Linked DNA regions of Caenorhabditis elegans. The protein of the gene in region 1 purifies or fractionates together with the protein of each later gene. This does not show direct contact. Each region holds a gene or a part of one and is shown in the gene's direction. Other genes may lie near its edges.

Region 1 (7,033 bases):
ATTTAAAGAAGAAATTATTGACATGGCCTCCATTCCATTTCTTTCTTATCATACATTTTCCCACAACTGATACCATGTGCAGCCTATTCAAAGGGTCACTTTTTGCTGAAGTGTGTAGAACAAACATGCAATCCGAAATTACAGTTCCACAACTGTTTACTCTACAATTTCCTTTTCACATTTTCTTCCTGTTTCAGTGCCGAGAAATTGTAGCTAGTAGCAAACAAAACAACGCCGTGAAATTTCGTCCTTGAAGTTTCCCTTTCCCTCCCGAGAAACATCCAAGTTCTCGACGGTTATATCGATAATTATCTTCTTTTTGGTCGAACTTTCTGTCTGTTAAAATAATGATAGGTTACGGTTGAAAACATAAATCTAACATTTTTTCGAGATTAGACTTGAGATCAATCTATAAAATGAGTCAAGTCGTATGAAGTTTCATCTACATACTTGACCACAAGTTGATCACTGAATTGAACTGCGCCTAGATCTCACACTATACCCGAAAACAATCTCCACCCTCCCAATTAAATAGAAATAGTGACATCATTCAAACCTAACTAACTTTGTAAAATGTCTATTGTTTTTAGATTTGCGTAAATTCTTATACTGAACGTATTTTAATGTTTCAATGAGTTGTATACATCTAAATTGTTATAGACAAAAACGTTTCCAACAAATCATCATTCCAAATTTCGGCAGTTGATAACTGAAACTTAGATTTCATCAGTTTTCTAGACTTCAATTTCACGAAATATTTTGCTAACGGCGATTAAAATATTTTGGCATTTCTCTATATGATTGGTTACTTGTTTGCGCGACTGTCGTCATGTGATCATCATTATTCTGACCGCTTCCTTCTCGTCTCCGAATATCGTTTTTTTTTCGTTGACTTGCCCCCCTCCGCCTTCTCTGTCCTTCATGAAACATACATCATCTACCAGAAAATTTATTTAGGCAACTGCGTTTGATAATGATAACTAGGCAGTATATAACCCCAGGCTGACCCTTGAAGGTCACGTTGACCATTCTGAAAACGCTCGCTATAAATTTAATTTTCCTTCAATTTCATTGCTGATTTTTCAGAAATGGCATTCACCGAACTAGTGGAAACCCAACGCAAGTACTTCCGTACAGGAGAGACAAAACCAGTCAAATTCAGAAAACAACAACTTCTGAAACTTAAAAAGTTTATCGAGGAGAACCGCGAGGCTTTGTCAGAAGCTGTTTGGAAGGATTTGAGAAGAGTAAGTTAGAATTTTCAAGTATAAAATTCAAATTTCTAACATTTTCAGCGCCATGAATCCACTGAAATTCTAGAAATCGGAATGACCATTCAAGAGATTGACTATTTCTTGAAGAACATTGATGACTGGGTGAAGCCAACCCACGTTGAGAAGACCTTCACAACTGCTCTCGATAAGCCAGTAATTGAGAAAGATCCAAAAGGAGTTGTACTCATCATCTCCCCATGGAACTATCCGGTCTCTATGATCCTTCTCCCAATGGTTCCAGCAATTGCCGCCGGAAATACAGTTGTGATCAAACCATCCGAACTGTCCGAAAATGTTGCCGCAACTTTTGAGAAGCTCATTCCAAAGTATTTCGAGTCAAAATACGTGACTGTCGTGAACGGAGGTATCCCAGAGACTACCGATTTGCTCAAAGAGCGATTCGATCATATTCTATACACCGGATGCCCACCAGTTGCCAAAATTATTATGACAGCAGCTGCAAAGCATTTGACACCAGTCACATTGGAATTGGGAGGCAAATGGTAAGTCTATAGATTGATTTTTGAACAATTTCAAAATTTAATTAATTCAGCCCGGTCGTTGTTGAAGATGATGCTGACATTGATATTTCTGCTAAAAGAATCGCTTGGGGAAAATGGCTGAACTGCGGACAAACTTGTCTGGCACCAGACTACATTCTTGTGAATAGCACTGTGAAGCCGAAGGTCAGTTTTAGTTAAAAAATTAATTTTTTTGTTGATTTTTCCTCCATTTTTGATCAATGATATGGTTGGTGATGACAGAGATACAAACTGTTTGATAAACAATTATTGATATCGCACCCTACAGCTAACTAGACTACAAAAAGAATATCCAAAAATTTCAGCTTGTTGCCGCAATCCGCAAATATGTGAACGAATTTTATGGCGAGGATGTGAAAGCAAGCAAGGATTACGCGAGAATGATCAATCAGAGACATTTCGAGTTAGTTTATTTAACTATTTACAATATTTATATAATTTAATCTGAACTCTTCTTCCAGTCGCATCTCTGGGCTTCTCGATAAAACTCAAGGAGCTGTTCTTATCGGTGGAGAACGTGATCGTGCAGATCTCTACATCCCTCCAACTGTCCTTGACGTTGAGAAATCTGATCCATTCATGCATGATGAGATTTTTGGTCCAGTCCTGCCCATCATCACTGTCCAGTCTTTCTCGGAGTCGCTTGAGTACATTGCTGATGGAGAGAAGCCTCTGGCTGCTTACATTTTCACAAGAAATGAAGCTAAAGTTAAACGCCTTTTGAATGAGACTAGCAGTGGTGGTGTGACTGTTAACGATGTGTTGATGCACATTACTGGTATGCTATTTTAATTTTAAAATATCTGAATAATTTTTGAATTACAGTTGATACTCTCCCGTTCGGAGGAGTAGGTGTCTCTGGAATGGGACGTTACCGTGGAAAGTATGGATTTGACACATTCACCCATGAAAAGTCTGTGCTTCACAGAGGATTCTTCGGAGAATCTCTTTTAGCGTACGTTTTTTCCGAACCTTCGATACCTAATCGCATTAATTTCAGAGCTCGTTACCCGCCACTAAGCCAACAAAAGCTCGATCAAATGCGACGCCTCACGGGAAAACGAATCTCTCTGAATCTGATGAATGTTGCGACTCTTCCTATCGTAATGGCCTCATTCGTTTTTGGAATGCTCTTCCAGGTATGCAGAGGAAAATCAGCTCAATAGATTCTCACACAGTCAGCACCTGCTTCACTAGATTAATTCACAAATCGCAGTACAATTTTTCAGAAATGTTCTAGAAATGTACAGGATGATTAATTACTGCGAAAATACGTGATATTTAGCTTATCATATTCACATATTTTTGTTGCTTTCCAATTTGCCTCACTAACTTATGTCCAAACATCTAACAATAAACTATTCAAATCAGTTATTGTACGGATATTTCCCGTTTGTAACCTCCAAAGGCTCCTTATGTTTCGAAGGTCCTTCACATCCTTTGTTTTTATGCTTCAGCTAACTAGTACCAATTCGATAACAAATAAATACAGAAAAAATAATACTAGTTTCAGTTCATTTTCCGCTTCTCGGCATAAAATCGAGACATGCTGGTGGAGGTGGCAAACGCGAAATGGCGTACAGTAGGCTCGGTGTTTGCGGACTAGTCGTGCGGTCAATGTTCACTCTTACGTACTTTCACACCACTATTCTTCTTCCGTCTCGCCCTATTTTTTAACTTCTTTTTTTTTTCACAAATTCCTAGTCAATTTTTTCACCGGATCTTCTAATCATTCCATAAACTCTAGTCCATAACCAATTCCCGCATGAAAAGTGTCCCCAAATATTAAAAATTCGTGTAGTTTCAATTTAAAGCAATAATTTTATTAATTTTCATTCCCGATATTTTCAGAAATATGCTCGCAATCTTCATTGATCCGCCAAACGTTCATTTTCATTTTTTTTTTAAATTTTCCTCCCCTCTCTTGAGTATGTTTATTTTTGTAAATATTTTAATAAATCATTGTTTTGTGGAATTTTGCGCTTTGTTTGATTTTCCTGGTTTCCGGTGCCTTTTCTTCGATACTTATAAACATCCTTTGAACAGAAAACAATTTCTAAATTTATATTCAGGTATGTTCCGCGCAGTCCAATCAGTCCGTTCTCTTTCGACCACCGCGGCTTGCCGCCAGGACTTGATCCAGCAGACTTTCGTCACCAAGATCCGCGAAATCGCCAAGAACGCCGGTAACCTGGCTAACTCTGATCCAGCCGTTAAGAAGGCTCTCCAGGAAGAGCTCAACAGATTGGCCACCAAGTTCCAGCTCGCCAACGCCGATGTTGTTTCGAAGCTCCCAACTAACTTTGAAGCTGCTAAGGTAATATAAATGAAGACAAACAAACAAAGATTTATTTAAAAAATAAAATTAGCTAAAAAAAATTTCAGTTACAAAAGTATCGCTCGATTGAACAATTTTTAAATGAATTATCGAAGTAAATTAAAGAAACATCCTTATTTTTGTCGATTAATAACCAAAATAGTTTCAAATAATTTTTAAAAAATCAGCTTTTGTTTTTGTAAATATATTTGATAATCTGAGAACCAGAAGTAACCCGATTAATGTATATCTTATAAATTTTAGATTATTAATAGGCTGTTCCAAGTGCTGAGTTAAAAAAAAACATTAAAATGCTCGTTTCCAGGTTGACTCTGCAGTTCAATCCGCTCTTGAAGGACAAACATTGGCTTCGCTTCTTGAAGGAGTCAAGAAGGACCACTCTGAATATGTTGCCTCCCGTGATGCCAAGAAAGCCGAACAAGCCGCCCGTAATGCTGCCCTCAAGCAATAAATTTAAGCTCTCGATTTTGAATGGTGTATTGTTTCTTTTTGTAATAGATCGTCTATAGACCGAATGAACGTTTTTGTTCCTTAATTTTTGAAATTTCTCTCTGTTCTTTTGTAAACTTTGTTGTTTTAGTCACGAAGCTTATTTTTATTATTCTCATTCAAAATTTTTCGATAAAGTGGCTTGTTATCAGCCATTTTAAACTCGTTCAATCAAATCATGGGTTGTACAGTTGTTCTACGAGCAAACATATTCAAACTCTTCCCCAACCCGTGAATACTCTTTTGAACGGCACCCCATTGCCGATTTGGGGTGCACCATTAGGCAGACCTGTCTGTCCGCAAGCCTCCTACGTCATCACACAGACACTAACCCAGCACCATTGCGCAGACGCGACAGACGACCTTTTATTTGCTACTCATATACCACACGATTTCAAATTGCAGGTTTTCGTTCCGCCGAAATGGATTCAAAACTCTAGTCATTTCAAAATTAATAAAAGGTTTGTGTTTTTTTCTCTCACGCATTTTTAAAATTCCATTTCCAATATTTAAGATGGTCGAATTTTCAAAGGAGTCATCGACCAGAGTCTCTGTAAACTCACAACGACAAATATCGCATGTCCAGAAACGAGAGCTCACGAAGCGAAAGGTTCGTTACTGATGTAACAGATAAGATGGGAAGTAGTGTAGGCGGGATTCTAATGGAAGACTGGAAGGTCAACCGTTCGATATGACATCATTGTGACCCCATGATGCTCGTCGGAAGATAGGGATTCTTTTTTTTTTTGCGTATCTGCTACGTGGTTATTATGCGTTGTTCAAATACTTTAACAAGAACAGTTTCTCTATGGCATTCATCTTATGATCTGGTAAGATTTCCATTTAAAGAAACACATTTCCTGAGCAATAAAAGTATGAATAATAACTCATTAATTAATAAACGTATTTTGCAGAGTGTCCGATTTGAAACACAAACTGTGGAGTCAACATCCGAATTTGTTGGTAAAACGAATCAGGAATGGACGTTCGTCGCTGATTGCTTGTATGTTTCAAGCTGTAATTTATTAAAACTATTTTTTAAAATTCCATTTTTCCAGCAATCTCGACAAAGAAACTCGAAGTGAACGAGAACAGGAGCTTCTCTCGCTGTGCAACTTCTTCGATTCGAATGAGAAGGAACTCGAGTTGAGCGGTATTAAATTAAAATTTTAATAATCCAGTTATCAATAAGCGTATTTTAGATGCTTCTGACGAATCGGATGACTCGGTTCCATTCGAATTATTTGCCGAGCAGGGAATGCGAATTGCTTGGACTCAAATCGTTACGTAAGGATTATTTGATGGTTTATGTTGTTTTAAAATTAAATTTTTTAGCTCACCGTCATTGAGCAATCTTCGCTTAGCTAGCATTCTCCGCTTCGATACAAAAAAGAAAATAGTTTCACCCTTCATTGAGTGAGTTTTTCTGATAAAATGCCCGATATTAAAATGAATTATTCTAGAGACGAAAAGAGTCCTCAAGAGTTCTTCTTGGACGACAACGAAGCGGTCGAGAATGCTTTCAAAGGTGTCTTACCATGCACAAATTCTCAAAAAGTGAGCAGGTCACGTCGAGCTTCAAAATCAGAAGAAGAAAACGATTTCGTAACGGCCAAGGGATCCGACTTTTGGAGTGATGTCGAATTTTAAGAAAGACCACGCAGCAGAAGCAACAACTACAATGTTCACAAATCCCAATGCAAAAACTGACCGATTAACGGATTTTATCTACTATCAAGAGCTTTCAACCGTCTTCCAAAGAAGAACATCTATTCGTCTCCCCGCAATTCTATATATAATTTCGTTTTGTCTTATCTCAAATTCTGTTCGTATTTCATTTACTGATCAAATTTACTCTTGTTCTATTGTAAATCATGTCCTTATTCCTAATCTCCAAAATTTTTTAAAAATTAAAGTTACCATTCCACTAATTTTCATCTCTTTCCCTCAACCCATTTCATTCCTTTCGCCGATACTCTAAAATTTAATGTGCCTTTCTTTCATTTAATTTCAGTTCATCTCTCAATTGCCTTTTTTCAATTTGCAGAAACTTTATTTATTTCCATTTTATCATCCAATGCCGTTCAACGAATAAATGATTTGATTAAAACGTTGTGTGGATTGACCAAGTGGTTTTCTTCCATAAGTACCTGAATTGTATAGATCAACTTTAAACATTTAAGCATTGAAACATATTTCCAGATGGGCACGAAAAAAAAGATTTTGGCAAAACTAGCCAAGTTCGGCGAGGTAGACTGGACTCCGAATGAAGAAGAATTGGCAGAGCTCGTTGAACTTTTGAATGATATAAAAGACGACGTAAGGTAGAAATTAAGGATGATAATAATAATAATTTAAAGACTTTAGATATCTACACAAGAAAAAGTTCG
Region 2 (7,361 bases), on another chromosome or scaffold:
ATTCTAGAAGATGGTTTTTGTAATGCTAATATTTCAATAATTTTCAGAGCGGAATTTCCACGATAAAAAGTTTACTTCTCAGTCAACATAATTTTGCTCCAATCGTAACACCTAGTGTTACTTCATCAATTCCATCATGGCAGCAGAGTGCAACTCCAACTTCTGCAACATCAATCACCACAACTACAACTTCTGAAGCAGCTTCCGGATATGCAACTCCTCCAGCCAATTTCAAAGAATCGTCATTAGCTGACGAGTTGGCAGATATTGAAAATATTGAATAGAATTTCAGAAATCTATGTAAATATATAATTAAATTAATCATTTTTAATGCACTCCTCGAAAGCCATTCCCTTTTTCTGTGATTTCTCATCAATTCACTGTGCCTTTTCATTTTTCATGTGCCACATTCCAAAGATTGTTAATTTCATCTGTGATATTACGAAAGAAAATCATATCGACATCTGAACGTTTCATTTCACAAAATGGTTGAGAAACCAGATATAAATTATCAGAATAAAAATGTGTTGCATGAAATAAACATTTGTTATTTAGGCATAATGAACAAATCGTTGATTGCTCTCGGAGCACAGACAGCTCGTCGATTTCTGAGCAGTTCATCAAAAAATACGATAGGAGGAGGAGATGCGAATCGGGCAGACACTGGTAATTTTAGGTTTTTTGACTAATAAAAAATGTATTTATTTAGCATCCGTTACTTTTCGTTTATTCCGTTTTGGATTCGGCAAAAATTTGTAAACACTCGATTTCTGATATTTTTCCAATTCATCAAACCTGCAGTCACGAAGCTATTTATACGGTACTCGGTCTCGACACGAAAACTTTTTTTAATGCAAAAAAGTACACTCCTTTAAATAATGAGTGCTGTAAATTCCCACTCTCATTTCTAAGAATTTTATTCCATTTTTCGTAGGTTTTCTCAAGATTTGTTAAAATTTATGTGTTTTTATTGTAAAATTTAAGTTTTTCATAAATTAATGTGTATATCTTTATAGAAAAACTATGAAAAATTGATAAAAATTCAACATCATGATGATCAACGAAAGTTTGAAACTACAGTAATCTTTAAAGGTGCACACCCTCTTGCACTCAACAAGAATTTGCCGTGTCGAGACCGGTAAGAATCGCAAAGTTTCGTGTATGGGTAATACCACTAGCTACAATTTTATTATTCATTATAAATTGAAAAAAATAGTTCTAAAAAACAATATATTTAACTTGACAGGTGTACTCGATGGTTATCATATAAATCCACTTGAAGAGTCTGACATGACAGATCGTAGTCGAATTTCAATGTTATCTACGGAAATGCTCGAAGCAAAACAAATTGGAGTTCGTGGACTTTCATGCTATGGATTTCGACTTCTCGATGGAACATTTTTGTGAGTTCTCAAAATTGAGAGTTTTTGCTTTCAAAAATAACTTTTCAGATATGGCCCAATCGCCTTGTTTCCAAAGACGGCTCTTTCGTGGCGTGTTCCAACTCCAGAAGACATCACTCCACGATCACTTGCTCTTTTTGCTGCTCTTGAACCAAAAATTGACATTCTTGTGTTAGGAGTTGGGGATAAAAAGAATATTGACAAGTATGAGCTAGAAAAAATATTTTTATTTAAAAAACAATTTTTCAGAGTTCGAGCCAGTGTAGCACCATTCCTTCGTGAACATAAAATTGGATTAGAGATTATGGATACTGTAATTTTACAATTTTGCTAACGTTTTCACAATTAATTTCTCTTTCAGGAGGACGCGATCGCAACATTCAATTTTCTGAATGCCGAGGGGCGATATGTAGGAGCTGCTCTTTATCCTCCAGATGATATGGTTGTTACTGATAAGGAATACGGTAGAGCTCTGGCTCTTTTGAAAGGATGGGACACGGTTGGCTACTCAAAAGCCCGGATATTTTTTATTTCAAAATGTGTTTTCAGGTTGAAGAAAATCCATTGCTCACTGGTCTTTCTGATACAATAAACGGGGCTGAGGATTTGGTTAAGCGATTGTGGAGTGGAGATGAAAAGAGTTGGCAATCAGCAAGACAAAAAGTATGATCAAACTGAATGGATCTATAAATCTATTTTAATTTCAGGTACTTGAGTCACCATCTGAACGAGAAGAACGAATGCAACAAGAAATGAATGATAAAGAAAAGAAACGAATTGAATAATATTGGAATTTGTTTTTTTTTTTTAGAAATCTTAGCAACTATATTTCGTTTTTGTTGATTTTATTAAATAAAAATATAAAATTTATGAATCGAATCTTCCTGGAATTCAGAAAATCAAAGCCAGCACATTTCGAAATTTCTAGTTTCTACCGTAAGGATGACCGAAAGCTCAAATAAAAAATCATGTTTCCGAGATCGTCCTTGAGAAATAGTTCTCTCTTTTTCGAAAACACATATGTTGTCACTAGAATGACCTCACATCCCAGATGCCAGTGTACAGAGAGACGGAAAAGCTGCAGAATTGTCATAGCCTGAAAAACAAAATAGCAACATTTTTCAAAGATAGAAGGTTACAAAAATGTATTTTGACGTGCATAACATTTAAAAAAAAAGTGAATTCCGTATTTTTCTGATTAAAATTTATTTGATGCAAATTAATTAGGGTGTTCGTTCGCACGCGGTGTCAGACTGTCAAATAACGGTATGGTTTACGAAAAATGGTATGATCTACAAACAATGCGGGATTTTTTCGCCCAGAAAAGTGTGACGTCAGCACGCTTTTAACCGTGCGACGCTGGATGAAAACTCTGCTTCAATTCCCGCATTTATTGTAGATCATACCGTTATGGGACAGTCTGACACCACGTGGCATTCGCCTTGTGAATTGAAAAGCGCACGCTTTTGTTTAAAACAGATATTAATTTTTGGAATCTTCCTGTATATTGTTAGTCCGTTTCAGGTATGTTTTTGAAAGAGTAGAAGACGCACATCTGGGAGGATTATTTAAATGTTTTATAGATCAGATTTAAAGATCATACTGGAGAAAGCAGAGCATATGTAATTCAACTCTGACTTTTAGATCAGTTTTACAATTAGTTGTAAACTCTCCCTCCTCTCTGCCTCTTTATCTTATCTAGCTTACAATTAGAGCCTTTTGTTTACATTATACTGGACGTATCGGTCGGCACATTGACCTTGGAAGGGGTTGTAAACAGTTGACCATAACCAGCGTCGCCCCGTCCACTACAGTATCACCGGGAAACCCCGCCCATTTTCATCTTGCTGTTGAAGATTCAAGACAGAGATTTCATTCTTCATTCAGTCGGCACAGAATCTCACTGTTCTGGTTAATCATGAAACTCCATTTGCTCACTGTTCTGCTCTCGCTTGTTCTACTTTCTGTCAATGCCAAGGTTTGTACACAAAATTGTTTGAAATCTCTTTTCAAATGTATTATTTCAGCCATCAAAGGAGAAAGACTTCCAATTTTCTGATGGAAACTTGGGTACTCCGATGGAAAAATATTTTGAACAAATGGGATTCGAGCAAAAAGAGAGAAATGAGCAAATTATAAATGTAAGTTGAAATTGAAAGACCCTAACCTACTAGATAATTAGATCAATGCATAGAGCAAACGTATGAATGGTATAAATAGGTTTATCTGAAATAAAAAATAATCACGGAAAATTAAAAAAAAAACCCTAAAACACAGGCTCCGTTTATATGTTTGGTTTTTCGTGGTTTGAATTAAAATTTCTTGAACTTATTGTATATTTTTTCATTTGCAAAGCATCATTATTGATAAATTGATATGATTTTTAAAGGAAACTAGTTATTAAATGAAACTGTAGATGAGATTACGGATGTGATGAATCCAGAAATCGGATGAAATGCTATTAGAATAATTACTTTCTTATTTTTGATCACAGTTTTTTCATATCTTTCATACTTCTACGTTTCCATTCTTCAAAGGGGCAAAAGTCACAAGAAGAAGTTTCTGCAAGGATGCTGTCAATTTTGTACCGTAAAGTGTAAAGTGTCCCATAAAAATGTTTACAGAAACCATCGAGTGAAGATGAATCATCAACAGCAACCATTCCAAACACTGACCATCATCAATTAACTTGGATTCCAAATGATGCATACCTTTTCATTGGTAAAACTCGGTACTACTTCAGAGAAAACTGGATTAAGCTTCCACCAATCGGAATGAAAGTTACTGAAGTTGATTCAATTGTTCAAATGCCAGAAATGAACCATCAAGAAGTTGAAGAATTGAGAAGAGAAACCGAGAAAAAAGAAGGATATGTGGATCCCAAAGAGTTTGAAAAGATCCATGATACCATCAAATTTTCGTTCACCATGGACACATTCACTTACTATTTCCATAAGTACTACACGGAAATCCTCCTTGTTACAGCCGTGATTGTAATCATCTGCATTGCTGTTGGATTGCATCATTATAAGAAGAAAGTTGAAGAAAAGGATCAACTTCATTTTGCATAAATTCGTTTATTGATAAATTTGAAAATTGTAATTGAATAAAAATAAATAAAATGTCAAGTTCTTTGGAATGTACGTTCCGCGATGTAATAATGGTATTAATAATATAGTTTGACTAGGACTGATCTGGACAATGATGGCATGTTTTAATAACACTATTGACTTCAAACCATAAAATTGATTTTGAAGCAAGATTCCCATAAAATTCATAATCCAGCTATTTATATAACATCTTCGTGAATACAATAGCAGCAAAAATTGCAGATATCTGTCGTCGAATGGCCGTTAGACTATATCCAAGCGGTATTCGAAGAAACGGAAAAAATATTAAATCAAAATGAGAGGGTTCTGAGAAAAATCTTTCAGACCGTTTGTTTTTCAGTTAAAAATGTTTATTTGCAGTTAGTTTTTTGTAGGGGCCTTTCTGGGAGAACCTTTGAAATAATATAATATATGTCTCATTAGGAAGTCCGGGATTAAACCCAAATACTTCCCTTGTCCGTTTTACGATCGAATATTTCGAACCACAAGTTTATTGATATTTCCAACAAAAAAACAATAGTTCGTCAAGAAGAACAAAACATCAAGTACGTGAATTAAAGGATAAAATTACAAGAATGAAATCGATTTTTAAAAAAAGTACCAGAAATGCCATACATATTATGATTCCGTGATCAAAACAGTTTAATCCCACACGTACAGTATCGTACTCCAAGCCGGCTCTTCAGGTAGAGTAATAGTGGCGTTGGTTCCATCGATCCTTTGAATATCCAAACCTCCTTCAACTTCAACTTCTTTATCATACCATTTATACGTATCTTGTATAAAAACAAGTTTCCTCTCGACCGGTGCCAATTGATATTTAATACCATTCAAGGCGATTGGGATAAAATCATTTTTATTAAAACTGAGAGGAAACATCATTATTAACTGCTTCAGTTGTTCGTTCGATCCATGAATCCAATGCTTTAGAAATGTACATATATCTTTTGGGGGTACTTGATAACCCATACATATTGTGGAACTATTTGAAGCCAACAAGTCGTTTATCTTCAATGGGATGTACTCCCATATCTTTATAAACGTGAAGTTTGAGACGATAACGGATTGGAATCTTTTGGGCTCTAGAAAATTTTGGATTATATACACTTCTTCAAATTGATGTGAATATAGTTCCAACATTTGTTTATGGAACTCGATGTTTTTAATTGAAAATGAAAGGAATAATTTCCTAATACTGAAATTTTTGAACTGTTCAACGATTGGTTGAATAATCATAGTTGCATTCACAGAAGGATAGTTCATGAAGACCTGATAGATGGAACAATTCAAGAATATGATCTATAAATCTTGTGAGTTGCATTCTTATTATTAATTTCCAATATCCTTCTGAGTCACGCGTGAGAATCTGACCCAAATGAATAAAATCCATTTCGTTTGTTTTTTGTGTATTTCTGTTAGACTCATCAGCAGAAAACCGAAAAATTAATTTTTCAGAAAATTGAAGTTTCTAAGGCAAATTGATATTGACGGCTCCAAATCCACACAGACAAATAGCATATTCATATTCAATGCCACAACACAACGTTTTGCGGCTTTTGAAGTGAAAGATATAATCACGCTGAAAATGAATTATTATTTTACAAATTATAAATAATAAAAACGCATTTCTGCCAAGCAGCCTCTAATAAATGCCGAGTGTACAGACTCCGCCCCTTTTTCGCGTTTTTTTGCGTTTTTTTTTGGCTTGCGAAAAAATGTCCCCTTTTGTTTTCGTTAATAACTCTAGAGCCGTGTGACTTCATGTTCTAATATTTGAAATCCTACTAGAAATATTTTGCCCCACGGTGGAGCAGAAAACGGCACTAAGTTTGGAGCAAAATTGAGCCCAGGACGGCTTTCCCCAGTTTGAAAAAATTTTTTATGGGATTGAACTTTTTTGACGAAGTTTTTCATTGGGCAGAAGAGGTAGATGTCACAAGGTTGAATGAAAGAAGTCGCTCCAGGTGGAATCGTACGAACGTGGACCGTGTGTCCATATAGCGCAGCGTCTTGTACGTCCCTTTCATTTTTCCATGCTGGCCATGAGTCAAGGAGAAGAACGGTTTCCTTCGGCATCGCAGGATCGCACACTGCACTTTCAACCCAATCTCTCATTAAATCTTTGGTCATAATGTGACTGGAGTTGGCACGAACGATGAGGTTGGACGGAGAACAGTGACCTTTTTTGGGAAACTTGCCTCCTTTTTCCTGTAATATATTACTTTTTGAAAAAGTTAAAGTTGAGAAGACTGCAATGAATGATACGCATTTTCTACCTGCAAAACGATGTAGAGTTTTGGAGCGAGCTTTCCCGTCACACTCAACATTGGGAGAATGGTATACGAGTGAGATAAGGCATCTTTTGATTGGACAAGTCTCTCAACACGTTTCACCCCCCTCGGTGCGAGAGTTCTGAAAAGTTTATTTCATAAAAGTTGCTCTTTTCAAGGCAAACCTTTTGCAATATTGCTCCTTCGTGAATCCGCTCTGATCACAGTTGAAAGCTGTATTTGGATCGAGCGTTTGCAGTTCTAGTTTCATATCATCAACATACTTCTTTGCCGCTTCTTCTGTCTTTTCTTTATTTGCGAAACTAGCTTTGGTCACAAAAGTAGTGATATGACGAGATACCAAACCATTTGACTTCTTCCATTTTGCGAGCCAATCGTCTGAAGCCTTGAAATCGTCGATGTGCACAAACTCTTCATTTAGATCAACTGCCATTCGTCGAAGTGTGAGCTTGTCGGCAATTACTCCCATGCTTACATTTCCCATGCCTACAATTCCCATGCTTACACATGTTCCCGTACATACAAATGTTCCCATGCTTACACTCAGTAGTAACAGT
Region 3 (8,046 bases), on another chromosome or scaffold:
TCCTATTTGGTTTGGTCTCTAGTACACGTGCCAATTTTATCATTTGGAAATAAGACGGCGCAATAATTTTGTGTTGCAATTTTTGTAGAAAAAACTTCTCAAAAAATGAGCTATGCGTGCGCGGGGTTAGATTCTTCTGAAAATGTCAATTCTAGTCAATTCTACAAATATTAAGCTAGTTTTGAAACTTTGACAATTATAAAAAAATTAATTATGGAATGTTTTATTTCCATCCTTTTTAGAGTATTAAGGTCGATTTCTTAGATTAAAGTCATACTGAAGCTTTACCTTTATCATTTTTATGATTCTCCGCATATCAACAAAACGCGCGGATTGACTTTCGTCAACTTACGAAATCTAAAATCTTTCTCCCTCACCTCTTCCTCCTCCCCAACCATCTCGTTGTTTCCCGTTGCTTCGATACTCTGCTTCTTAATATTCTCTGCAGCTAACTTTTTCTGTTGTTCCTGCTCTCGTTGTTGTTGCAACCAGGTGTTGGGTTCGTAGCTTTCTGGAGGTTGAGATTGATTATTACTTCGTTTGGTTGGTGGTGCACTTGGTGTTGACACGTCTTCATGACGACGGACATGCGACACTGGGAGACTAGATGACGATGGGACTGACGCCATCTGTAAATTTAAATGGGTTCAAGTTAGGGCTTGAAGTGAAAAAATCAATAACGAAAAGCGTTGTCGGGGGAAATTAGAGGAGTGTCGGGGATTTCAAAATGAAAGTTTTATTGCGAAACACGCCATGTAAACTCGAACACTCAAGCGACCTATATTTTTGCGGAGTGAAGTGTAAAAATTGTGAAACAATGATTTTTTTATTGTTTATGGTCACTACTTTGTTTTCTTTTGGAGGTTTTCGGATTCACTATAACTTTAGGAAATTCGATATTTTAGAAAATATTAGGAATTTTGAATTTATCAACAAAAAAATCAACTCAATCAATGAAGATTAAATAGAAGAATTTCCCATAGTTTTGGCAATTACTAACAATATCTATTTACATTTGAACTGTTAGTAATTGTTCTCTCGCAATTTTTGTAACGCGTACTTAAAGACACATGGATATTTTTGAATTGGGTCTCAAAGAGTCAGATTTAAATGTTATTCGTTTTTGTCTATTTTTGTGAAATTTTCAAAATATTTTTTCATTAATTGTGGAATGGAGGGATCATAAAAAATTCTCAGAACTTTTTCTGATGGCGAGACCCATAAGAGGAATTATGCAAAAAAGGTGCAAAACTACCATGAAATTATGTAAAAGATTCGGGTGCTCAATCAATTGTAATTAATAAAATCGGTGAAATACTTGTGAGCTCAGTTAAATTGAGATGAGCACTACAGTTTGTTTTATATTTTCTTGTTTATTTACTGAGTAGCGTCTCTTTGAATTTCGTAAAAAAGTGTACAGTGTTTGTTCGAATATGAGCAATATTTAGGTTCAAACAAAGTTAATTATAAAGGGTAAATAATATATTTCATTTCAATTTTAAATTATCAGAAAATTCGTCTTTTGTTCAGCGCTCCACTATTATGAAGTTTACCAAAAACAAAATATCTCACCTGTTATTATAATAAAGTTGTAGACTAGACGTTCCTGTATTGATTGATTTTGAGTATATGTTATGATAAAAATACTGGAGAAAACTGAAAAAAGACGGAAGTATAATTATCAGTGACCAAGGAAATTGGAAGAAACAGTGAGGTCAATCAGATATGAGTCAGCAGCGATTGAGACGCAGTGAAAAATGGGAAACGAGAGGAAGACATACAAAGGGCGAAGGTCGAATTTTTTATTTGGTTGATGGAAAATATTATTGTAGATAAATATTTTAAAATATCTACAAATTATTCATCTCCTTTTCGGTTGATCTTTGTGGATACAGAATTTTGAAATTAAAAAAAAACAATATAAATCTGGTTAACATCATAAAACAATGTCTATATTTGACTATTTTCTCTCCTTCTTGATCTTCCTGATCCTTTGCTTCGATTGGAGTTAGTTCGATGTAAAGGTCCCATTGATTTGGATCTTTTTTGACTTGAAGCTTCACTTGATTGTCTTCTACTTGCAACTGACGGCTGCCTTGATCCTAACCGATTTTCCATTATTGAATTCGTGTCAAGGAATCCAGATTGATATCTTCCAACGCTTGTAGCTCTTAGGGTATTATATGGACTTGCTACAAAAATGTTATTCGGAGATCGTCTATGAAGGGAAAGTGTGGAACATCCAGGAATTCTGAAATTATAGATTTACAGAATCTTGTTCCGGTTTGAATGAAGTTCTTACACTGGTGGATACAGTTTCTTTTCATCGTGTGGCTTAACTACATTAGACATTGCGTGTCGATTCTCAAGAACTGGGTACGCAGGTGGAGGTAGAGGTTGATATGGATCTTTCTCAAAGATCGGAGGTAGCGGCTGTAAACGTGTAACAACTAAAATGGGTACATTTTGATTTTGAATTGATACGCATTATTACCTACATTCTTCGTTCTAGTGAACTGTATCTAAGCCTTGTAAGGTTTCAAACACATTGCTGTTTCGGTTAATTTGGCAATTTACCAAAACTATGCCATTTTCAGAAATCTAAAATGTTTTAATAGTTTTTTTTAAATTATGGTACGATCATTTTGAGTTTGTTTAGACGTTAATTTGTTAGCTTTAATTGTTTATATTACTTTCATGAAATTTTCAAAGGTGTAGTCGCAACTTTTACAAGGACATGTGGGTTTCTAATTGAATTTGAATTTTCAATTAATCAAAAAGACTTACCACATAATGTGTTGTAATAGTCGTAAGCCTAGCAGGATCATTGTGCTTCTTTGTGTGGTGTAACGAGAGATCACAGAGCTTTGTTGTGCATAAAAAGTAGATTAATGAAATTATCAAAAACGAACATCCGAGTCCAAATAAAATAGGACCCGCAATTTGAATTGGTGGTGGTCGTATTCTTTGTTCGTATGGCCAAGTCCAGAATGGTGAAGTATAAAGGTATTTATATCCAAGAAGTGACATTAGTAGTCCTCCAATTAGGAGAAAAACGCCGAATGCTGTACAACAAATCAATGATGACGAGCCACGAAATTTTCTTTAAAAAATAATGCTTTTTTCAGGGTTTTTTTTTAAATTTTTGATAAAGTAACTTGATGTATATTTTCTGCGTCTCTGTTGAATTTTCGCGTTGAATATGATGTATTAGGACATACTCCATTAAATTATAATCTACGAGTTATTTAGTTGAGCTATTCAACCCTCATATTTCCAGCTTACAGTTTCAATTATCAAAAAACTAACGATGTTCTATATGGAAAAAATCCAAATGTTGCTGGATACAATATATCCCATCCTTTTGGATAATAATAGAAATATGGATCACGTTGAGCCATTGGTCCAAAATGAAGAACTCTTTGATTTCCAGTCCATTGTTGAGGATCAATCTCACTTGCACCAGCTTGAACCATTTCGTCTTTCTTATCCTTTGCAGTTACGTGAAGCTTGTCTTTAATATTTCGAAAATATTTATGAGTTTTTAGAATCAAATTGACATGAAAACCCCTTATATTTAATACAACAACTCTATATTCTGTGCTACATTCAGTACATCGTGGTGAGACCCATAAAGTCAATTTAAATTACTACTTCTCAGTATTGCTTTGATGGTTATAATTACTGTAGCTGGTATCGATTTATGGGCCGCTTGTACCATATTCTTTGAATTTTATTTTAATTGTAATTTTTAAAAATTTTGTAAGATGTCCGAAGATTTTCAACGACCTGTTAATCGATACCATATTACAGTAATTCGTCTTCGTGGCAAGACCTTTGTGTGTAAAATATAGGAAAAATCATCATCTTTAGACGTCTACGTAATATCCTTTTTTTAAAGCAAATTTCCACACAAAAACCCACTCTGAGCTCTCCGCTTCCGCTTTTGATGTGGTCGTTCAGCTTTGGATCCGAAGAATAAATGTGTGCGGACGCGCTCTTGATTCGACGGTGCCGCGCCGCGTCCTCTTTTACTTCCCATCTGAAACCAATCAGGTCCGGAAGAAGGAAAGGCTAAACTTTTCGGCACGACTCGATTGGACCTTGATTACAACTCTTTGAGCTCGTGCCGCAGAGCAGTATCAAACAGCCACATCTTTTCTCTCAATTTATTTTTCTAAATAGTTTGGTGTGTCAACTGGAGTGTTGGTTGTGGCAACAGATGTTTTCGTGGATTTCCTCATCGTGTGGATCATCTTTTATCAAACACTTACCATCTTGAATAATTATTTGAATAAGAAAATCTAGAACTGAATATAAATTGTATTATTGAGCAGGAATAAAAATAAAAGCTGGACGACTTTCTGTATTTTTCATCCGATTCACAGCTGGTGGCGGATATCTTGTCGCCGAGTGTTGTGCGGGCAAAACGGCCTCTAGTACCCGTACCCGCGTCATTATTTTGAAATTGAGATGCTGCTGTCAACGATTATTACAAACGAGAAGGAATCTCTCGTCTGAGCACACGGAAAAGTCTCTATGCATGTTCGCCCTATTGACAACGATGCGGAGGGCGACGCGTGCCGAAAATTTCTCTGTGTCTCTTCATACAGACAGTCCGCCCGTTGAGTTTGTCCCAATTTTAGCCTTTTTTCAGCTTTTAATTCTTTAAAATTCCAAATTTCGGCAAAATTCATCAATTTGAAAACGTTTTATTCAGTTGTTCATTGCCTTGATCTGTTAATTTAGCCGTTCTCATATTTTAAAAATTGTTTTATTTTTTTCAAAAACTTAAAAATATTTAAAATAATTATTTTAGGCATCAACTGGGGCAATGGCTTCTCTTGCTAGATCTGGAGGTTTTGCAGTCAAAGTGGTAAGTATTTTTTGAACAAATATGAAGAAAAACACTCCAATAATCTATTCAATTCGAGAAATAATCATATTTTGCGAGAAACGCGTTCGAAAATTTTGTTTAAAATGTATTTGTTTAAACTATTCTCGTTCCAAAACACTGGACGGTGTCGAAATGATTAAGATATCGATTACAGTTCTAAAATTTTGTCCAATAGTTTATAAATAGTTTTCTTTCAGATCAGCGGATCCCAGCAACATGTAAACTTTGTTGCCGCAACACCAGCCGCCGATAATGTAAGTATTTAAAGTTGCAGAATATTATTTTATTGTCTAGTATCCAGGTCGCTGCTTTCCGCGATGTTCCAGCTGAGTTCTCCACGGCTGAAGCTCGTCAAGCCGCTGTTAGTCACAGCACCGGAGGTGTCTTCACCAATGGACTTGCTGTCAAGGGAATCAATGGTATTTGAAATTGAATTTAATATATTAATTCATTAATTTTTAAGTCACCTCTCGCCGTTTGGCTCACACTGATGTGACATTCCCCGATATGTCAAACTATCGTCGTGATTCTACAAAGAACACTCAAGTGCCAGCCCGTGACACCGAGGATCAACGTCGTGCTCTTCCAACTGCTCTGTATTATGGAGGTTCGAATTATTTTTTATTCGGTCTAAACATTGTTTTATTACAGCTGGAGGAGTTCTATCTTTGTGGGCCGGAAAGGAAGTTGTACAGACTCTTGTTTCTTACAAAGTATGTTGAATTTCCATTACACCGTTTTTAAATTAATTTTTCCAGGCTATGGCAGCTGATCAACGTGCCTTGGCTTCGATCGAAATCAACATGGCTGATATTCCAGAAGGAAAAACAAAGACATTCGAATGGCGTGGAAAGCCAGTCTTCGTCAAACATCGTACCAAGGCTGAGATTGCCAAGGAAAAGGCCGTCCCTGTCGCCGATCTCCGTCATCCACAACATGACGACGAACGTGTGCAGAAAGATGAATGGTCCGTTGTCATTGGAGTGTGCACCCATCTTGGATGTGTCCCAATTGGTATGCAGTCTTTTTTCTCCTGAATTTTTGAAATCATATTTTGAATTTTCAGCCGATGCTGGAGATTACGGAGGTTATTACTGCCCTTGTCACGGATCTCACTACGACGCTTCTGGACGTATTAGAAAGGTAAGACATTTATTTGCTAAATGTAGTACAATCTGAAAAATTCAAATTTTATAATTTTTTTTCATAATTTATTGAAGAAAAGTTCGCGATTTGATATAATTAATGATAAATTGTAATTTTCTCTTAAAATTTTATAAAAAGAGAGATAATTTAAACAAAAACAAGAAGATATCTTCTGGAACGAACGAAAGTTCAGTCCTATCCTAACCGTTATTACGGTAAATTTTGGTATTTCTTAGTAAAGCTTTTGATAATTTTAAATAAATACCTAGTTTTTACAGTTTCTTTTTTTTTATTAAAAAAAACGGAATAAAAGAGTAGTAAATAAGTTCGCTTTTTTTGATGAAAATCAGTTTTTTTCCGAACGTAGGAAAAGTAATTAGACAATTCTTTTTTGAATTCCTAATTATTTACGTGAAAATCTTTATCATAAATTAAGCTCTCAGAATGTTGAAAATTTAAAAAAAGTTAAAACTTCAATAGCGGAAAAAAGTGTTTATATTTCTAAATTTGACATTAAAAATGTTTTCAAGTCACCCTAACGTTGATAAAATTCACAAAAATGTAAAGGTGATCTTTTTTTCAAAATCTTCATTTTTTCCAGGGACCAGCTCCATTGAATCTTCACGTACCAGCATACTCGTTCAAGGATGCCACCATCGTCATTGGATCGAGCTAAATATTCAGATTTTTTTGCAAAAGTTTCCCCGTCCCCACTTTGAAAACTCGCGTCTCCTAATCGAATGTGTGGTTTTCTCCTGTGAAAGTAGTTGTTCCCTTCTTTCTACGTCGTATTCTTGGCAGATAAAGTTTATTTTTCGTCCTATTTAGTGTTTGCCTGTTTTTATTATTTCCCCGTTTTTATCCATTTTTTCTAGGATCCCGAATGCACTCCTGTTCGAAATTCATTGCAGAATGAATAAACGTAATTTAAGAGGTTCTCTAGATGAGGCGGAGCATAACCAATACAAATAACCCACTTGGCAAATAGAACAGTCATGGCATTCTCTGCGTCTCCTAAACATCGCTGTCCTCGAAAAAATCGGCACTTGATCCACAGAGGAGTCACAGTCGAGTAAATTGTCTCGTTTCTCTATGTTTCTACAGTAACATGGTATCTCTTGTAATAAATAAGTTTTCTCGTTATCAAAAAGAGAACATGACACAGCAAGCTCTCTTTCTCTCTCTCCTTTTACGCACTTTTGTTGTTATTTTTCGATATTTCATCAGTTTTTGATTTTATTGATCGATTCCTACGAATTACGTCTCAATTTTTCAGACGAAAAAATGCCTTCGATTCCTGCACAATTAAATATATCTGCATTCAAATTCCCATTAGGATTTATAAGAATTATTCAATTTGTAAGGAAAACTTTTGAATTTCTTTTGAGAGAAAATTCATTTGTGATTCTTTTCAGGTTTTCATAATCATTGCGATAGCCGCTATTAACAGTTGGGGATTGGAATTGAATTACCACTGTGTTGATGGAACGGGTAATATAACGAGAAATAGTACACAAAAAGTCTACACATTTTCGTAAGTTTCACGAATTGAATATGTAATTTCAAAAGCTTAATTGAACTATTAAATTTTAGAAAATACCGCACCCGGTCGACACGACAATGCTGTGTCACATACAAATGGGTGTGCGCCTTTAAAGAGTACTGTAATTTCAAACTTTTGTTGCTGAGGATTTTTTATCGATTTTTCGATAAAATTATATTTATGTATAAAAAAATTAAAGATAAAAATAGAAACACTAAAATTGGAACAAAATTAAGGAAAACTACGAAAAATCTACGAAAATTTCATAGCAACGAAAGTTTGGAATTACAGTACTCTTTTAGAAGGCGCACACCTGTTTTTACTTAAAACTAAAATTCGTAGTGTCAAGACCGGGTACCGTATTTTAGTTTTTTCAAAATTATTTCATGAAAGCCAAATATAAATATGAAAGTTAATCAACAATGCGAAGTTTCCAACTAAAACCTCAAATTCCAGTCTC
Region 4 (8,629 bases), on another chromosome or scaffold:
AGTGAAGAATCGCATGTTTCCCTCAAATCCCTCTGTTGTACTGGGTTTCTTTTTCTGGGATTAAAACAACTGTTCACCGGAAAACTGAAAAAATTGTTTTAATATTGTACCAAAAACAAAAATCGAATTTCCTCAAACATTCTAAAAATAAAATATATAACTGTTTTGTAAAATAATCTGTTTTTATTGTCCGAAAAGATTTTTTACAATTTGTTTTTGCAACAAAAAACACCGAAATCAAAAAATGTTCTTCTGAAAAGTTTTTTTTTTGGTTTTTGGTGCAAAAAATAAATTGTCTGGAAAAACCTAAAATCTCGTAATTTATTCGAATTGGTTTTAAAACGAATAATTTTAGCTCAAAGCGTACGTTATATGGCAAAGAAACGTTCAAAAATCATATTATGAATTAAATCTCTTTGAGAAAAAAATTTGAAACTATGGAAGATTATGGAAGAGAAGGAAGATAAAATTTGTAAAATATAAACAACGTTTTCTTTTTAAATGTTTCGCTCTGAAAATTCAACAAAAAAGATTTTTGGCAGAATATCAAAAAAAAAACAAAAAAAAATCCCACCCATAAGATGTTCTTATCCAAATTTTTATCTTCATCTACCATATTTCTTCTATTAATATGGCTGCAATACTATTTTTCGATGGTCTTCCCGCTTGCAATACTAATAGGGAGTGCAAGACTATTAGGGAGGCCATATTAATAGAAGAAATACGGTATATGTGACAGGGGATCCTCAAAAATGCTACTTTATCTCCCCTTGATTCAAACATTTTCACTAAAAATTAAAAATAATTTTTTAGGTGTTGAAATTCTACTAATTGGAAACTTCCCACTTCTTATCACTTATCTACGTTGTCGAAAACATCCGAAGCTTCAAATTGCTGCACTTCAAGTCATTCTGTTGGCTGCAGCTAATAAGGAATGTGTAACTGATTTGGCCACGTGTAATGTCACTACAACACTTTTCACACTTTTACGTGATCAGCCGAAGATGATAGCAAGAGTATTAGATGTTCTGATTGCACTTTCATCAAATGGACAAATTGGAAAAGAAATGTTAGAACATGGAGGACTTATGTATATTCTATCAATTCTTTGTTTGACAAATTCTGATCAAGGCCAAAGACTGCAGGCAGCCGAGCTTTTGGCCAAACTTCAAGCTGATAAGCTTACTGGGCCAAGATGGACACGATTTATTATCAAGTTTTTGCCAGAAATATTTGCAGATTCATTGAGAGATTCGCCCAATACAGCGTTAGTTTTTTCCAAACTACCTAAATTTACAATTATAAACAAAATTTACAAACATAAACATTTTCAGCCTTCAAATGTTCGATTCATCAAGCGAAAATCCAGAGCTTATTTGGAATGAAGTAACGCGTCAAAAAGTGAAAGGAATCATTGATACAGAAGTCGGAAAACTCTATGAACAACACATCAAAGATCCAACTGTCAAATGGAATACGACTTCATTGGCTGACAAGAGTTGTGCCTATGGTGATAGTATTAATGGTGAACTTGTTGTTGGAGGTGTTTTTGTACGATTATACGTCGAAAATCCAGGATTCAATGTCAGACATCCAAAATTATTCTCAACAGAGCTCATCGAAAAGTGAGTCAAAAATTTAATAAGAACTTTAAAATTTGTATTATCTACCTAACAAACATAGGTAACAAAAGCTAATTTCCAGAGTGCTTGAACTGATGAGTCGTCCAACTCCAGAACTCGATTTGGTCACAAAAGCCTTTGTTGAACTGGTCCGTCATCATCCGAATACTGCTGATCAATTGCCATCTCAAGGATATCTACCACAGTTCTGCACTGCAATGTGTCTTCAAAACACATCTGCGTCTCGTTCAGCAATTCTAATTCTTCAAGAATTGAGCGAAAATCAATTCTGTTGTGATGCTCTTTCTCAGCTGCCATGTATTGATGGAATAATGAAATCAATGAAGAATCAACCAAGTTTGATGAGAGAATCGGCGCACGCTTTAAAATGTCTCATGAAGAGAAATACAGGAGAATTGGCTCAACAAATGCTCTCATGTGGAATGGTTCCATATTTGTTACAAGTTTTGGATAGTTCAATGAATGGAGTATCAAACGGAGCAGCTGCTCGTGCCGAGATTGTTGACGCATTAAAAAGCGCAATTTTAGATCTGAAAGTTGGTCAGAAGATTGCTGAGATTTTAGACAAGAGTCCCGTCTGGGCACAGTTTAAAGATCAACGACATGATTTATTCTTGCCAGAAGCGAGAACTCAAGCTATTACAGGTAAGGGTTACTGTAACTTATTGAGTAATAGACTTTAAAAAAAGTTTGTTTCTACATTCCTGGAGTTTCAAAATAAATTTGAAAAATGCGGTCGGATAGAGTGGTATGACGTAACTATAAACTTTTTGCCTCCACTGTTCATATTTCGATGGGTTTTCGAATGTTTAAATTCTAAATATGATATTTCCAGGAGGTCCAACTGGTGTTGCTGGATATCTAACAGAAGGAATGTTCAATCCACCACCAATGAGCAATCAGCCACCACCAATGCATCAAACATCTGGAGATTTCCAACCACCACTTTGAGTGGAACTTCTCAAAATTTATTTTTCAATTCCTTCCAATTTTGTACATTTTTGTATCTCCTTTTCATCTTCTCATATTCATTTTTTTTCTCTTTGTTCAAGAACTTTTGTATTCTTGAGCAGTTTCCTTACTGAATAATTTATATATTTAAATAATTAAAATTCATTTTCAAAACCCTCTCTTTTAAAATTTCCCGCAAAATGTGATAATTTTTCGAAGTGTTCCCCCTTGTCGCGTATCTACTTTTGATTATTTTTGATTTCCCGTGATTTTTTTGTGAAAATGTTGTTCTTCTGGTGCTTTTCCCCCATTTTCAGCGGATTTTTTCGACTTTTGTTCTTTTTTCTTTCGATTGTTTGTGCGCACGAAATTTTGGGATCCCTACACAAGTCTACGGTGAACTTTTGACAAAATACATATTTTTAGAAATTATTATTGCTCGCGCACCAACTTTTTTTGTGAAATTTGATATAAATTATTGCTTTCCTCATTATCAAATAGAACATTCAAATTTGTTGGTATTTTTTCCAAATTTTTATCAAAACTTTCCAGACTTTAGAATGTTGAAAATTGTGACTCAAAAAATACAACTTTTTAATTTTTTTTCAAGTTCAATTTCCAGATGAAAAAGAAAATCATCAAGAAGAAATCTGCTGCTGCTCCGGCTTCCAAAATTCCAGATGATTTCGAGATGCCAATGGCTCGTGTAGCAGACGAAGATGATGTGGCGGAGGATTACAAAGTTGTCGATATGTCTGAAATTGCTGCTCCAATTATTGAATTTGAAATGCCAAATTTGGTGGAAAAGTCGCCGGAAGAGTTCAAGAATTCTGAAGTCACTGGAGAAGCTTCAAGAGAAGTTTCAGTCAAGACACCGAAGAAAGTCACCAAACGAGTTCGAAAGTCTTCCAAAACAGACAAAACCGATCAAATTCCTCTGACTGCTGAAAAATTGAACAATGAGTTAGTTGCATTGCGTGCCACGTGCCTAACTGCAAAAAATCAATTAATGTCGAGAATCGTCAGACAGAAGAAACAATTGGAATCGAAAAAATCGCAGAAAGTCGATGGGAAATCAAAAGAGGAACGAGATCGGAAAATTGCTCGACTTGTGGAAGAAATTCTGGGATTAAAGGTATTACACACACGCGAAGTTTTACCAAAAATACGGTACCCGGTCTCGACACGACAATGTTTTGCTTAATGTGAAAAATCTTTGAGTAATTTCAAACTTTTGGGTCTATGGAATTTTCATTTATTTTTCTTATTGAAAACTCAAATAATAAAAAAAGAATTAAAATTTTAACAAATCTTGAGAAAACCTATGACAACTCGATGAAGACTCTGCAGAAATGAAAGTTTGAAATTACAGTACTCTTTAAAAGTGCACTTCTTTTCGAATTTAACAAAAATTTGTCGCGTCGAGACCAGGTATCGTATTTTTGACGCAAATTTTCGCGTCTGCATAAAAATATGCTTGTTAAATATCAATTATTCCAAAAAAAAAAATCTTTTCAGACTTTCGACAAGGATTCAGTCGCAAAATTCGCTGCCCTGAACACGAAATCTCTCGCTGAGCTGAAAATTAATGGAAAAACAGAAGTTGCTGAAAGGCTTATGTACAAGCTCGTATGCCAGTCAATTATCGTCGAAAAAATTCAGAGTATTCGGTAAATGAAAAAAAAAGTTATTCTCATGAAATTTGAATTTTGTAGAGAAAAGTATACGGAATGGAACAAGACTGCCGCGTTTTTTATGCAACGTCTTGGTCAACAATATGCAAATAAACCAGAGAAAAAGTCAAAAAAATCAACTGAAAAGAAAGAGCTCAATATCGAAAATTTGGAAGATTTGAATAATGAAGATGAAGATTCTGAAAATGAAAAAGAAGAAGAAATCGAAGAAAACGAGGAAGACTACGATCAATCTGATATTGAAATGTTGGATAGTGATGAAGAAGAAGCTGGAGAGGAGGCTGCAAAGAATAGAAGAAATTTGGTAATTTTTATATCCACATATTTTTTAACGGGTTTCAAACAGCTCTCTATTGATTTATATTTGAATTAAACTCAAAATTTTCAGCTACTCGGACTCATTGGCGTCCAAGAGGACAAGAATCGGCCAAGTTTGGCACCGAAGAAACGAAAACTTGTGGAAGAAGAAGATGAAGAAGTTGAAACAGTCAAAAATCAGAAGAAAATGAAACAAATTTTCGAGAAAGAGCTTAAATCTAAAGAGGTAGATTTCGTTGCGATTTCTGCGCCAAAATTGCGATACCCGGTCTCGACAAGGCAATTCTTGTTAAATATTAACGCCTTTGAAGAGTACTGTAATTTTACAATTTCGTTGCTTCGGAATTTTGTGAAAAGATTTTTCATGAAACTAAAATTAAAAATTAAAAACTCCTAAAGTTTCAAAAATGTAAAAAACTATTTTTAAAGTTAAAAATTCAACAGTAATTTAATATCACAGTACTCATTAAAGGTCCGAGACCAGATACCGTATTTTTTGCGTCTGGTCTATTTATCTCCGAATTTATAGGTGAAAAACCCCAAAAAGTCGAATAAAAGTACAAAGAAGCCAACAAAGTCAGCTCCAATTGTTAAAAAAGTTGAAGAAAAGAAAGTGGAGGAGAATGAAGTTTCCGATGATGAATCAGATCAGGTACTTTTCAATAAATCTATTTTAGATTTTTACCCTTTCCGGAGTAAATGTTTCTGAATTTTTTCAATTTTCATTTCAGAAACTCTAACCATCAAAATTTAAAACTACTGCAGACTTTTTACAGAAAACTCTTGTCATGAAAGTTGATTTATCGAAAGGTGGAAAAATTGCAAAAGCACAGAAATTTTCCACAACAGCACCAAAATCAGCGAAAATTGTTGCTCCGGTATCAGAAGATGAGAATGACGATGATGAAAGCAGCTCTTTCTTTTTACCAAAATCTGGAGTAGTGGCTCCCAGAAAAATTATACCAAAGAAGCCGTCGGAAAATGTTGAAAAAGTTGACAAAAGATTCCAAAAAGGAACCCAAAAAAGTAAGATTATTGTTATTTTTGTGTTTCTAAATATTTGAAACAATTTTCAGAGTCAGAAGCTGTGGTTGAGAAGAAGAAAGGTTCAAGCAAAAGTGCAGTATCTGGTGAAATGCATCCATCCTGGATTGCTAGTCAACTTAAAAAGAAAGAGCTCGCCTCGGCTAAACCCTGTGGAAAGAAAATCACTTTTGGAGATGATGAAGAAGAATAATCGATTATTGTTGTTATTCCTTGATTGTTAACTATTTTGTTATTGTTATAATTTTTAAATGAACTGTTTTTTCTTTTCTTTCTGTTCCATTTTGTTCGATAATACTATCATTCAGATATCAGTGAATAGACACTGTACTCGCATTTCCAAATATCCTAGTTTCGCTAGATTTTGACGTGCCTACTTAAAGGCGCACGGATTTATTCAGATGGGTTTCGGCGCGCAAAAAAGTTTATGGTCCGTTTTTTTTAATCAATTTTTTCTTTGAAAACTGATTTAAAATAATTTTTAACGGAAACAACGAATATGAAATAATTCGATGAATATTAAGTCATTTCATTGAAAAATGCAAAGGAAATGAATATGAAGACCGGAAATTTAAAAAAAAACTACCATACATTTTTTTGCGCGGCGAGACATATTTGAATAAATCTGTGAGCCTTTAAGATGGCATGCCAAAATCTTGTGAAGTTACGATAATCGAAAATTAATTTTAAAAATCGAACCTTTCGGAATTGAATATTTTAAAATAATTCAAGGATTCTTTACAACTCCTATTTGGAGAATTTCCACTATTAATACTACATGTTTCTATCAACTTCTGACCCGTCTTAGCTCTCCGTTGTCATCATCGAACACTCATTTGATTCCTTCTTCAGCTGCTTTCCAATAGAAAAAAAAGATTTCGTATTGCAAGGCAGCTGCCGCCGCCTCGGAGACCGCCCATATTCTCTGCCCTTTTTTGTCGTTTCGTCTCCTCATCTTCGCTTTAATTTTTCAATAAAGAAGGGTGTGCCACGTCATGAATCTGAACACCTTCAATTTCTTAAATTGAGTTTTTAAATCGATTATTCAGTTTTATTACTGCCGACGTTTAATTTTTTTTAAAAGAAAGCGTTGCTTCAGTTGAATTAAACTTTGGTGAGCGAGTTTTTGGTTTTTTAGTTTTTAAAAATTGCAACCGTTCCTCCAAAAAAAAGTTACTGCTACCGGAAAAAAAATCAAGGAATTCTTGTTTTTCGGCAGAGAAGAACTGTTTTCTACTAAAATTACTATTATATTCGCGGAGCATCTCGGCTCACAGAGCAATCAAACTCCGGCTCTTTCCATTTTTCTATTTAAAGCACAGTTTTTTATCCAAACATTAACAATTTTGACGTTAATTAGTACGAAAAGGTGGTAAATTTTAAAAATGAAAGAAAAATAATTGACGAAATATCGGTGCACTTGATAAGGCTGACAATTCCATATTTCATCGGTTTTCTTCGGAAAAACAGTTTTGGTTCCTATTAATGCGCAGATTTTGCAAAATTGCTTTCAATCAAGTTCTAGAAAAGATGCCAATAGGTTTCAACACACAGTTTTACAAAAAGAAACTTGTTTTTTTTCTTTAAAGTTTCTCGAAAACTCGGCAGATTTTTTTCGATTTTTTTAAGTTGCAACTACTTAGTTTAGTTATTTTGTTGTAGTGTTAAAATTCGAATTTCCATCGAACAATTGCTAAAATAGATCCTTTTCAGACGTTGGTGTTGGTCGTTATGTCATTTGTCGAAATCCACATGAATGGTGATTCTAGTTCGATTTATTGAACGACTAGTTGTAATTTTTCAATTTCTCTGATTTTTTGTTATGTTCCACTTTCTCATATGCTATTTGTAAATTGATAATCTTCCAGTTTTCCATGAGTTTACTCTAAAATTCGTCGATTTCTAAAAAAATGCACTATCCACTTTTTCTTCGAGTATTCCCAGGTATTCTAGCTAATGTAACAGTCCCCATAATTTCCCGATGATAAACGATCCCATCTTAAAATTCCGTACCCTGATAGACAATAGGCTCCACCCCTTTTTTGTCTGCGTTCTCTATTCTCTCCACAATTCGCGGTGTTCCATTCTCGCACTTTCGCCGCCTCACGCCCTCCGCGACGAAAGACAAGAAGAGAACAACCCGTAGGGCCAGACTTTGATGAAGAATGAGTGTGTGTATGTGAGTGTCTATGAGATGTGTCTTCGGATTGTAGGATCGTTACTTATTTCTGTTTCCTCATTTGTTTAATCTGAAATTACTAGAAATTGTATAATACCATGCAAATAAGGAGGCCACGTGTAGTTCGCTCTCAGGTTTTGTATGTACCACCGTCAAGAAAGTTTCCGACCACCAAATCACTAGATTTTTCATAGTTCTCAGTTGGATCCTTGTGTCTCAGAATTCAACGACTCTGCCGTTCTCCGTTAATGAATTTACCAACAGTTTCATGTGCAAATAGTTATATAAGCTGGGGTTGAAGCTGAATTAATTGTACTGAAACAGTTTCGTAAACTCATTCTCGAAATTTCCAAAAGGTTTTGAGCTATTTACGTGATAACATTTAAATTTTGGTAGAATTCATTTTGAAACGAAGTTCTTCAACATTTTATAATTGTATTTCCGTTCAAACGTAGTTCTCAAAATTAAAGTTATTTTGTGGTATTTTTCAATCTGGCAATAGTGGGTAAATGTCTTCGTAACGCGTAATAATATTATAATGTTTCTTTTTTCTATATTCCGAAACGGTATTGATTAAAAAAGGAAACTGCGCATAAACATTACGTTGTTTACTTTTTGTTTTTGAAAACTTAGATACTACATGCAGAGTTGATTCATGTTAAACGTACTTTAGAATCTCTTTAAGGTAATTAACTCACAGTTTCTACCAGTATTGTCCTTTCAAGAACTGAAAAACTGTTCCTCCTATTTGTAATTTTTGAATTAGTATTTTTTTATTTAAGAGCACTATATTTTTTTCC

The links.
Region 2: the proteins of atp-4 (region 1) and sdz-27 purify together in Caenorhabditis elegans (affinity purification with mass spectrometry, with the first as the bait; one large-scale study listed by BioGRID). This does not show direct contact.
Region 3: the proteins of atp-4 (region 1) and isp-1 fractionate together in Caenorhabditis elegans (co-fractionation; one large-scale study listed by BioGRID). This does not show direct contact.
Region 4: the proteins of atp-4 (region 1) and srfb-1 purify together in Caenorhabditis elegans (affinity purification with mass spectrometry, with the first as the bait; one large-scale study listed by BioGRID). This does not show direct contact.

What each region holds. Positions count from the first base shown.
Region 1 is NC_003283.11:6,423,968-6,431,000, reverse strand, and holds atp-4 (ATP synthase-coupling factor 6, mitochondrial), read left to right. Parts: upstream 1-3,888; 5' UTR 3,889-3,890; coding exon 3,891-4,133; intron 4,134-4,458; coding exon 4,459-4,605; 3' UTR 4,606-4,755; downstream 4,756-7,033. Other genes in the region: alh-4 (Aldehyde dehydrogenase), read left to right, coding at 1,089-1,247, 1,296-1,777, 1,828-1,960, 2,122-2,219, 2,278-2,594, 2,642-2,771, 2,817-2,955, 3,046-3,075; T05H4.11 (DUF4706 domain-containing protein), read left to right, coding at 5,158-5,253, 5,558-5,646, 5,702-5,796, 5,846-5,930, 5,979-6,059, 6,107-6,293; urb-1 (Nucleolar pre-ribosomal-associated protein 1 C-terminal domain-containing protein), read left to right, coding at 6,846-6,962, 7,011-7,033.
Region 2 is NC_003282.8:11,183,736-11,191,096, forward strand, and holds sdz-27 (SKN-1 Dependent Zygotic transcript), read left to right. Parts: upstream 1-3,293; 5' UTR 3,294-3,321; coding exon 3,322-3,381; intron 3,382-3,430; coding exon 3,431-3,544; intron 3,545-4,027; coding exon 4,028-4,474; 3' UTR 4,475-4,529; downstream 4,530-7,361. Other genes in the region: prx-14 (Peroxisomal membrane protein PEX14), read left to right, coding at 48-284; nuaf-3 (NADH dehydrogenase [ubiquinone] 1 alpha subcomplex assembly factor 3), read left to right, coding at 561-666, 1,247-1,403, 1,452-1,607, 1,653-1,716, 1,765-1,902, 1,953-2,066, 2,111-2,188; fbxb-79 (F-box associated domain-containing protein), read right to left, coding at 5,156-5,776.
Region 3 is NC_003282.8:8,132,829-8,140,874, reverse strand, and holds isp-1 (Cytochrome b-c1 complex subunit Rieske, mitochondrial), read left to right. Parts: upstream 1-4,819; 5' UTR 4,820-4,834; coding exon 4,835-4,876; intron 4,877-5,094; coding exon 5,095-5,151; intron 5,152-5,198; coding exon 5,199-5,316; intron 5,317-5,360; coding exon 5,361-5,504; intron 5,505-5,548; coding exon 5,549-5,610; intron 5,611-5,655; coding exon 5,656-5,911; intron 5,912-5,963; coding exon 5,964-6,040; intron 6,041-6,644; coding exon 6,645-6,719; 3' UTR 6,720-6,859; downstream 6,860-8,046. Other genes in the region: Mitogen-activated protein kinase pmk-3, read right to left, coding at 378-629; islo-1 (Interactor with SLO-1), read right to left, coding at 1,951-2,251, 2,303-2,433, 2,788-3,103, 3,310-3,514, 3,925-4,042, 4,275-4,277; sph-1 (MARVEL domain-containing protein), read left to right, coding at 7,328-7,402, 7,459-7,577, 8,043-8,046.
Region 4 is NC_003279.8:8,092,524-8,101,152, forward strand, and holds srfb-1 (Serum response factor-binding protein 1), read left to right. Parts: upstream 1-3,216; coding exon 3,217-3,729; intron 3,730-4,112; coding exon 4,113-4,264; intron 4,265-4,309; coding exon 4,310-4,592; intron 4,593-4,676; coding exon 4,677-4,832; intron 4,833-5,135; coding exon 5,136-5,258; intron 5,259-5,382; coding exon 5,383-5,632; intron 5,633-5,682; coding exon 5,683-5,843; 3' UTR 5,844-5,921; downstream 5,922-8,629. Other genes in the region: rme-8 (J domain-containing protein), read left to right, coding at 814-1,267, 1,335-1,625, 1,705-2,288, 2,479-2,594.